2 linked regions of the Rattus norvegicus genome follow. The protein of the gene in region 1 binds, or shares a complex with, the protein of each later gene. Links are inferred from orthologs where the notes say so. Each region holds a gene or a part of one and is shown in the gene's direction. Other genes may lie near its edges. The genes, in order: Smarcad1 and Trim28.

Region 1 (3,809 bases):
ACTATGTGCATTCCCTAGAACTGCTTGAAAAATAAAGGAATGTTACCTAGGAAGCGCAAGGCCCTGGGTTCGGTCCCCAGCTCCGAAAAAAAAAGAAAAAAAAGAAAAAAGAAAAAAAAAGAAAAATAAAGGAATGATTATAATGATCGTTACCATGGTTCTAAAATTTTAGAGAATGCTAATTTGGCTTCCAGAATGGGGCAGGGGTGTCAGAACTACTCCTTTCTTAGATGTGTAGGACGTGCCTTTTTATTCTTTAGTTTTATCTACAAGAAAGTGATAAGCTGTGTATCCTACAGGGTTATTAGGGCTGAGTGCTTAATAATCACTTAAAAAATTATTGATCAGTTACTTTTATTTTTATTTAACTTTAAAAAGTTGATTTTTTGATAGTTTATACATGTGTGTAATTATTCTGACTGTGGTCAACAACCTCCCATCTATTTCTCAGCCTTAGCAACCTCTCTCCACCCATGCCTACTAACTTTTTTCCAGATTCATGACTGTTGGTTTTATTCTGTGAACTATTTAGTTTAGCCAGGACTACCTGTTTGACTATTGGATTGGAGCTCTCCATTGGGGCCTAGTATCATCTAGTGGTTACCTGTCTTCCTGAATCTGTGTGTGTGTGTGTGGAGTACCAATTATTTTTATCTTTTGGGTTTGATTTGTTTGAGACTTAGAGTTGTAGGAGAGCCGGGTATATTGGTTTATGCCTTGTAATCCCAGCACTTAGATGCTAAAGCATGTGGATTCAGGGATGTTATGACTTGAGGATAGGGAGATGTTTTCTCAAAGAAAAGAAAAAAAGAAACGTTGTATAAGCAATGGTAGGGGCATCTGCTCCAGTCTGTCACTCTTAGTAGCTTGAGGAATTCCTTTAATGTTTTTGATACCTTAATTAATTTTGTGTTCTTGCAGAGAATAATTCCTGGCTGGATAAGCCTGGGTGCAGCAGATTGAGGTTTATTACAAGACACTGTTAAGCATGAGCTAAGAGGTTGCTTGGGTAGAAACCAATTCAGAACTTAGGACATGATAGTTGATTGGGGGGTAACTGTAGATTTTGGAAGCTTTGGGAATTTTCTTGTTCTGTAGGTTTAGAGGCACATTCCATCTCTTTCTTTCTATTCCTCTCTTAATAACTGAGATAGATGGCTTTATCAGTGCAATTAGTCAGATAGGATAAAACTAAGACACTAAATTTGTACAAGGGAGTTAGAACTTTACTCTAAATCTCTGGTGAGATTTCTAAAAAACTTGAAGTTTACAGTTGGGAAGAGAGAAAGCCTTAAGCAAAGGTTGAGTCTGTTGTAATTCTTGGTTCTCAGTTGTGGAGAAGCTTCAGCGAGGCATTAGGGCCTTTTCATGTCCCCATAGTTTTTCCTCTCCTGTTCTGTGTCAATGGAAAGACATTTTGGTTTTAAGACAGAAACAATGCAAGGAATTGGTGATTTTTTTTTTCTTTTTTTAAATAATAGCACATGAATGAAGTTAATAAAAATTTACTTTGGTCTTGCTCAGAATATCTCTTTTTGTTTTGCAGAAGATTCTAGTGTTCCAGAACCTCCAGACAATGAAAGCAAAGCAAGTTTATCATGTTTCCAAAATCAAAGAACAATACAGGAATATATTGATTTATCATCTGATAGTGAAGATGTTTCTCCAAATTGTTCCAGTACAGTTCAAGAGAAAAAATTCAGCAAAGACACAGTAATTATAGTGTAAGCCATTTCACAGTCAGTTATGCTTATGCATGTTAGTTTTCAGAAATAACTAATTTGAATTATTTGTGTGATTATTTTGCTTTTATTCATCTTTGTTTTTACTATTTTTCCTGTCTTATGTTTTCTACAAAATGATTATTTATAAAGGTTTAGTGGGAAAATTGTGATATTAACTTCTAAAGATAAGGAAATGATTTAACTAGTACTGTTAATCCTCTGTAATTTCTTTGTGATTTGTTATGGAGTCTAGGAGCAAGTACCTAGCAGTTCTGCATTATGATCATATTTGTGTTTGTCATGTCTCTTTAATTTCATTTATTATGAATTATATCTCAGCATGTGTTTCACTATAACTCTCTTTAAAGGTGCCAGTCAGCTTTTCTTAGGATATCTTTCAATTTGAATTTTTCTGCTTTTTTTTTTTTTATGATTAAATGTAAGTTTAGTGGAAGGATCTACAGAAATGATCTTGTGTCCTCATCATGTCATGACTTAGGAAGTACATGGTATCCTTTTGTCTGTCTTTGCTTATTTCCCCCCCCCCCCGATGAGCTACCATTTTTCCCCCTTTGTGATGATTAAACAGTGTAGAGAGATTTTTCGGGATTGGGTAGTGCCTATGTCCATTTTTATCCTGTTATCCTTGCCTCTGTTGGTAATGCTAATTATAAAGTTGGGTATTTTGACTGTCATTTTAGAACTTATACTATTACTAGTTTTCTACTATTCAGAAATTTTACCCTTTTCTCCTCATTTACTCATTTATTTCCATATAGAGTATAACAAATGTCACTATAGAATATAGATGCTTATTTATTTATTGGCTTATGATTTTACACATTTTGATGAGCTAATTGTTCTGTCTAGTTAGATAATGACCCCTGTCAAGTAGGCTTCTGTATCTGGTAAGGGAATTACATATTTTGTGTCTCATTCCCTTTTGGCATTAAAAAATTTCAACTTGGATGTTTCTCAACCTTAGGCCTCCAATTAGAATGAACTATAGCTCAGATTTATTTGAGTAGGAAAGGGAGTGAGTGGTATTTTAAAATTTGTTGACTTGTGTTCTTTGCTGTTATGTGAGGTAGAGTGTTATGTTATCTTTCAAACCAAATGGCGTAGGTTCCTAGCCTGGGGAAGAAAAAGAAAGAGAAGAGGCAAGATGAGGTGGTGGTACAAGCCTATAACCTAAGGACTTGGGAGGTGGAGGCATAAGAAGCAGGAATTCAAGGCCATCCTTAGAGGCCATCTAGGCTTGTTGCTGTGATAGAATTTGTGCTTCCTTGTGCTCAGCTTGCTTCCTCATCTGACATGGTCTAGGATCCTTGGGCAGGAAATGATCCTGCCTATAATTAATGTGGATCTTTCCACATCAGGTAAGATGATGAAGATAATTCTTCACAGGTCCTCCAGAAGCCTTCCTCTCAGCTGATTCTAGACATGTGTTAAGTTGGTGATTAATACCATCTTACTCTGTCTTAAAAGAAAAAGAAAGGAAAATTAAAACGTAAAGGTGAGAGACACAGAGAGGGCGTTCTAGTCTTAGAGCATGTGTTCTGAGTGTGTGTATTCTACTCTTAGAAAACTAAATGTTGACAGATTTGCTTGGGGGATAAGTGAGTAAAGTTTGCTGTAAATGTTAAGCATAGCAGAGGGGAACAAGACTAAAATGGGTTATTATAGTATAAACCCTCTTGTGTAATATATCCCTTGTTTGCTGAGATGTTATTTTCCTTGATAGCCAGTAGGACCTTTCTGATAATTCTATCTCTGAGATCCAGATAATTTAGCTATTCAAAGAAATATTTTGTATCTTTGTATCAGTGTACATTTCATACTGCCTCAGCATCATCTAGCATGCTGAATCCTGACAAAAGTTTAGGAAGGAGGTGAGAAGTTTGGTGACTGTGTGTAGTTACATCAGTGAGAAACAGACACTTCTTTTTTCCTTCACGGTTGAAATAATCAGAACTTTTCCAATTTTATATTTGAATACCTAACAGTGTTAAGATGGTAAAAATTCTTTTCCTTTGACATATATTGATTATAGTTAATTCCTGTAAATGACAGAAAGCCTTTGCG
Region 2 (4,346 bases), on another chromosome or scaffold:
AGCCACCTCTTTGCCTCTATCGCCGCTCTCTCCCACCTTTTGCCGTGGTGGTTCGGGTGTGCTGAGGATACAGTTTAGGGCTTTGTACAGGCTAGGCAAGCAAGCGTTCTGCCACTCATTCAAATTTCCAGTCCCCATCCCTTATTTTCTTTGACCTTGTGTCTCTGGTATCCTAAAGTCTGCTCCCGGGGTTTAGGTAGGCTTGGCTCACAGGCACCCTACCCTGGTGAGTCTGGCCCCAGCAGTCCGTGGGGCCGTGAAAATATTCGCAAATATTTCTACGGGAAGCCCGCACTCAGCTTCCAGATTATACTATCCTTTTCAGAGGTAGAAGTGAGAGTCCAGAGGCTGGGTCTGGTGGGGGCGTGGCCCGCCGAATGGTGAACGCAGAACTGCCGAGATAGGAACAAAGGCTGGGGCGGGGCAAAACCTTGGGCCCCCAGCTTGATTGGGAACAAAGGCCACACCCGGGACAGTGGCGGGACACTCCTCGCCTCTCCGCTGCCACGTGGGTGAACACCTGGTTCTGCACGGAGGAGGTAGACTCTTGTTGAGAACCCTAGAGTTGCTTGTGGGCAACTCACTCTAGCCCAGACCCAGACCGTACCCAGTACACTGCAAGGCTGCAGAGGCATCCACTCAGCACGGCAGTAGAATGGCAAGGGGTACAGGTTGCCTTTTTAACACTGATCCTGCATCTGAGATGAACCGCTTCACCGCTCTTGATCCTGCTATTCTTTTCCTTAAATCAAATTCTTCAGCCAAGGTCCTGCTCCTCATGCAAGATTATTCCCCAGGTCTTATTTCTCCCTCAGATGAGATTCATCACTCAGATCCAACTTTTATTCCTTCGCGTTAGATGTTCAGTTCTTCCACCTCCAAAAAACCCACTAAAACCAGAATAGCAGAGGACTAAAACAGAAGAGGCTTTCGAAAGACTGGGCAGAATTTTACAGAATGGTTTCTCAGTACCTCTCTGTGATCTGCGGTTTGACTTGGACAACTTTTCGCTTCCCGAGTTTAACAATAAAAAAAGTTTGGGTTAAGACCGCCTCCACGCTCGGCGGGAACTTCCTGCCAAAGACCCCCTCACCCCCTCCACCTGGGCTCGGTCTCTGTGCTCAGCCGTGGCTCCGCCCTCTTCGGATTGTCCCGCCCCTCTTCGCGGACTATAGGCCAAGCTGCGGCTGCGGACGTCGCCACGCCTGCTAAGGAGGCGGGGCCTAAGGTACGGTTCTGCACGACTCGCGCTTTCCAGCACGCGAGGAATAAGCCTCGGTGCACTGTACGGTGGGCATGGGAGACATCACGCACGTACTCCGCGGGTGAATTTCCTACCGGTAGTCTTGCTATCCTGGACCTAGAGGGGCGGCTGCGAGTAGAAGGGAGGGCCCTGGCGCGTGCGTAATCTGCCTGCGCCCCGCCCCCAGGCTGCGGTGCCCAACGCGCGTGCGCGACGTCGTCGGCGCCAGATATTTCTGTCCCGCCTCCAGGCCGCGGCTCTTTCTGCGAGCGGCGCGCGGTCGGGCGGTTGTTCGCAATTCTTGCGGCGCGAGTCTCAGCAGCAAGGGAGGAGGCGGCGCGGGTGGCGGCGCCGTCGTCTGTAGAGAGGCCGGCAGCCAGCGGCTTGGCCGCATCTCGGCAGCGCCTGGGGCGCGGCGGGCGTCGGCCCAGGAGACGCGTGGCGGCGCTCGGCCTCGCGGCATCGGCGGCTGCCTGGCCGTTGGCGGCGAGCGCACTTGCGCCTGCGCAGCGGGCTCGGTGCCCCTCCTCCCCTGGGCGGCCCCCCCAACCCCCCGGCGGCGTGTGAATGGCGGCCTCGGCGGCGGCGGCGACTGCGGCGGCCTCGGCCGCGACGGCCGCGTCAGCGGCCTCTGGTAGCCCAGGGTCGGGCGAAGGCTCGGCGGGCGGTGAGAAGCGCCCCGCTGCCTCTTCAGCCGCGGCGGCCTCGGCCTCCGCGTCGTCCCCTGCGGGGGGCGGTGGCGAGGCGCAGGAGCTTTTGGAGCACTGCGGCGTGTGTCGCGAGCGCTTGCGGCCTGAGCGGGATCCTCGGCTGCTGCCCTGTCTGCATTCGGCCTGTAGTGCCTGCCTTGGCCCCGCTACACCCGCCGCAGCTAATAATTCGGGGGATGGCGGCTCGGCGGGCGACGGCGCTAGTGAGTACTGGGTGGCCAGGTGCCCCTCCCCCCTCCTTGAAGCCCGTGCTCGGGACTGCGCCTGTGCGAGAGTATGGGGGCCCGGGTAGGGTTAAGTAGGCCTGCTGGTTTAAGAGGGGGCGGGGAACGGGTGCTGGCGGCTTGCAATGCCGGTTACCAGGTCTGGACACCGAGATGCAGACTGTGGGGTAGGAGTCAAGAAAGCCGAGTGTCTGGCTCGACTTTTGAGTTGGGGGCATAGCTTAGGTGAGCATGCAGTTAGTTTTTTCACACATTCTTGTCTTGGCAGTGGTGGATTGTCCAGTGTGCAAACAACAGTGCTACTCCAAAGACATCGTGGAGAATTACTTTATGCGTGATAGTGGCAGTAAGGCCTCTTCTGATTCCCAGGATGCTAACCAGGTATGTCCTTTGGGATATCTTGTAAGAGAGGGAGGCATCTTTTCTGAAGCATCTCACCAGCTTAACTAGTTTGGATAGTATGTTCATAACAGTCTGAGTCTCTGGAAGGGTAGTACAGATTTGAATGCATTATGTAAAATTTAGTTTGTGTTTTCTGGGAAGTAAATAGAGGTCCGTTGGATAGTTCTGCCTGTTCTAACCCCCGCCTTTACTTCACTCACAGTGCTGCACTAGCTGTGAAGATAACGCCCCAGCCACTAGCTATTGTGTGGAGTGCTCTGAACCACTGTGTGAGACCTGTGTGGAGGCTCACCAGCGGGTGAAATACACCAAGGATCACACTGTGCGCTCCACGGGTATGTTGAAGATTTGAAGGCTGTTGGAACTGCCCTTTCTTGGTTGACTCAAGTGCATACTTGCAGGATGGGACAAGGTGTTTTTTTTAGGAACCTGACACAACTCAAAAATGCTTTGGTTCTGGAGCAGACTTTGGAGGTCTAGGTGGAAAGGGAAAGGCCACAGGTAGAGGATGTGTAGGGTTATTTAACACCTGCTACAAGTCAATACTAGGGATTCAACTAAGGTCATCTTGGAAGTCTCCAGGGGAAGGTTGTAGGTCCTGGTGGTGGGTCGATTAGCATAAGCAGCTAATGAAGGCAAGATGAAGTGACTTGGATTTGGATGTTCTCTGGCACCTGGCTTTAGCTGCTGAAAAAGGGCTTTTGAACAGGGAGAATTTCTTGACAAGTTAAGACTCTTAGGCCATTGTTTAGGGTGAGTCCTGGAGTAATTCAGCAGCAAGCCTTCAGCATCTTCCTAACTAAAGCTTATGGTCAGATTGATACCTTGTTTTCTGGGTTTGGTCCTGACTCTGATGTGATGGTGAGTTTCTTCCTACTTGGAAGGACATTGTTAAGGTAGTAGTAGAAGGCAGTTGTAAGGCCGGTGTGAGAAGTCAGGAGTGATAGGAAGAGGACTGCTCTTACTAGTGGTATGTAGTTTGGGCTTGGTTAATACAGCCTGAATTGGAATAGCATCGGGGAGAAAAGGGACTGATAGGTCAGTCCATACTTTTCTATTTTGGTGAGACACTGCTCAGGCTAGCCTTGGACCCCTCCCCAGACAGTTTCTGTGTATAGCCCTGGCTGTCCTGGAACTCTGTATAGGAGGCTAGCCTCTCAGATTTGCCTGCCTCTCCCCTGGGATTAAAGGTGTGTACCACCTGGTTTTCCCTTGAACATTTTATGCCCCTCCCACAGCTCCAAAGTGCTGGGATTAAAATAGGCATTTGGAATGTGCATGTTCCCCGCCCTTTTTGTTCATTTGTTTTCAAGACTGGGTTTCTCTGTTACGCCCTGGCTATCTTAGAACTTTTTTTTATTTTTGAGGCAAGGTCTGTATATAATCCTGTTCTTTAACTCACTAAGCCAGGAATCAGGGTGGCCTTCATGCAGAGATTCTACCTACCTCTGCCTCCCCAAGCGCTAGGTTTAAAGTTGTGACCCACAAGGCCTTTTTTGTATAGGTAGATGATAGCTCAGCATATAGTTCCTACTAGCCCATCTGGCCTGTAACTCACTCACTGCAAATCAGATTGGTCTCAAAGTCAGATCTTTGTTTTTTTTCTTTTTTGCCTCCTGAGTCCTGGGACTCAGGACTTTTGAGCATTTCACTGTAGAATCAAGTTAAGATTTTAGGAATGTGAGTACACTGTAGCTGTCTTCAGACACACTAGAAGAGGGCATCGGATCTCCATTACTGGTGGTTGTGAGCCACCCTGTGGTTGCT

What was found.
Region 2: the proteins of Smarcad1 (region 1) and Trim28 are in contact, whole or in part, in a crystal structure (PDB 6H3A), measured with the Homo sapiens proteins. The link is inferred for Rattus norvegicus from reciprocal best matches to the Homo sapiens genes SMARCAD1 and TRIM28. Residues at the interface, in NP_001362784.1 of Homo sapiens: Asp156, Leu157, Ala160, Lys161, Gln163, Thr164, Glu167, Leu168, Phe169, Asp188, Gly189, Ala190, Ala192, Leu196, Ala201, Gly202, Gly203; in NP_005753.1 of Homo sapiens: Arg330, Trp333, Thr334, Lys337, Ile338, His341, Leu376, Lys377, Ile379, Val380, Asp381, Val383.

What each region holds. Positions count from the first base shown.
Region 1 is NC_086022.1:95,648,108-95,651,916, forward strand, and holds part of Smarcad1 (SWI/SNF-related matrix-associated actin-dependent regulator of chromatin subfamily A containing DEAD/H box 1), read left to right. Parts: intron 1-1,546; coding exon 1,547-1,724; intron 1,725-3,809. UniProt on the Homo sapiens protein: DNA helicase that possesses intrinsic ATP-dependent nucleosome-remodeling activity and is both required for DNA repair and heterochromatin organization.
Region 2 is NC_086019.1:82,723,368-82,727,713, forward strand, and holds the start of Trim28 (transcription intermediary factor 1-beta), read left to right. Parts: upstream 1-1,527; 5' UTR 1,528-1,810; coding exon 1,811-2,156; intron 2,157-2,445; coding exon 2,446-2,558; intron 2,559-2,781; coding exon 2,782-2,914; intron 2,915-4,346. UniProt on the Homo sapiens protein: Nuclear corepressor for KRAB domain-containing zinc finger proteins (KRAB-ZFPs).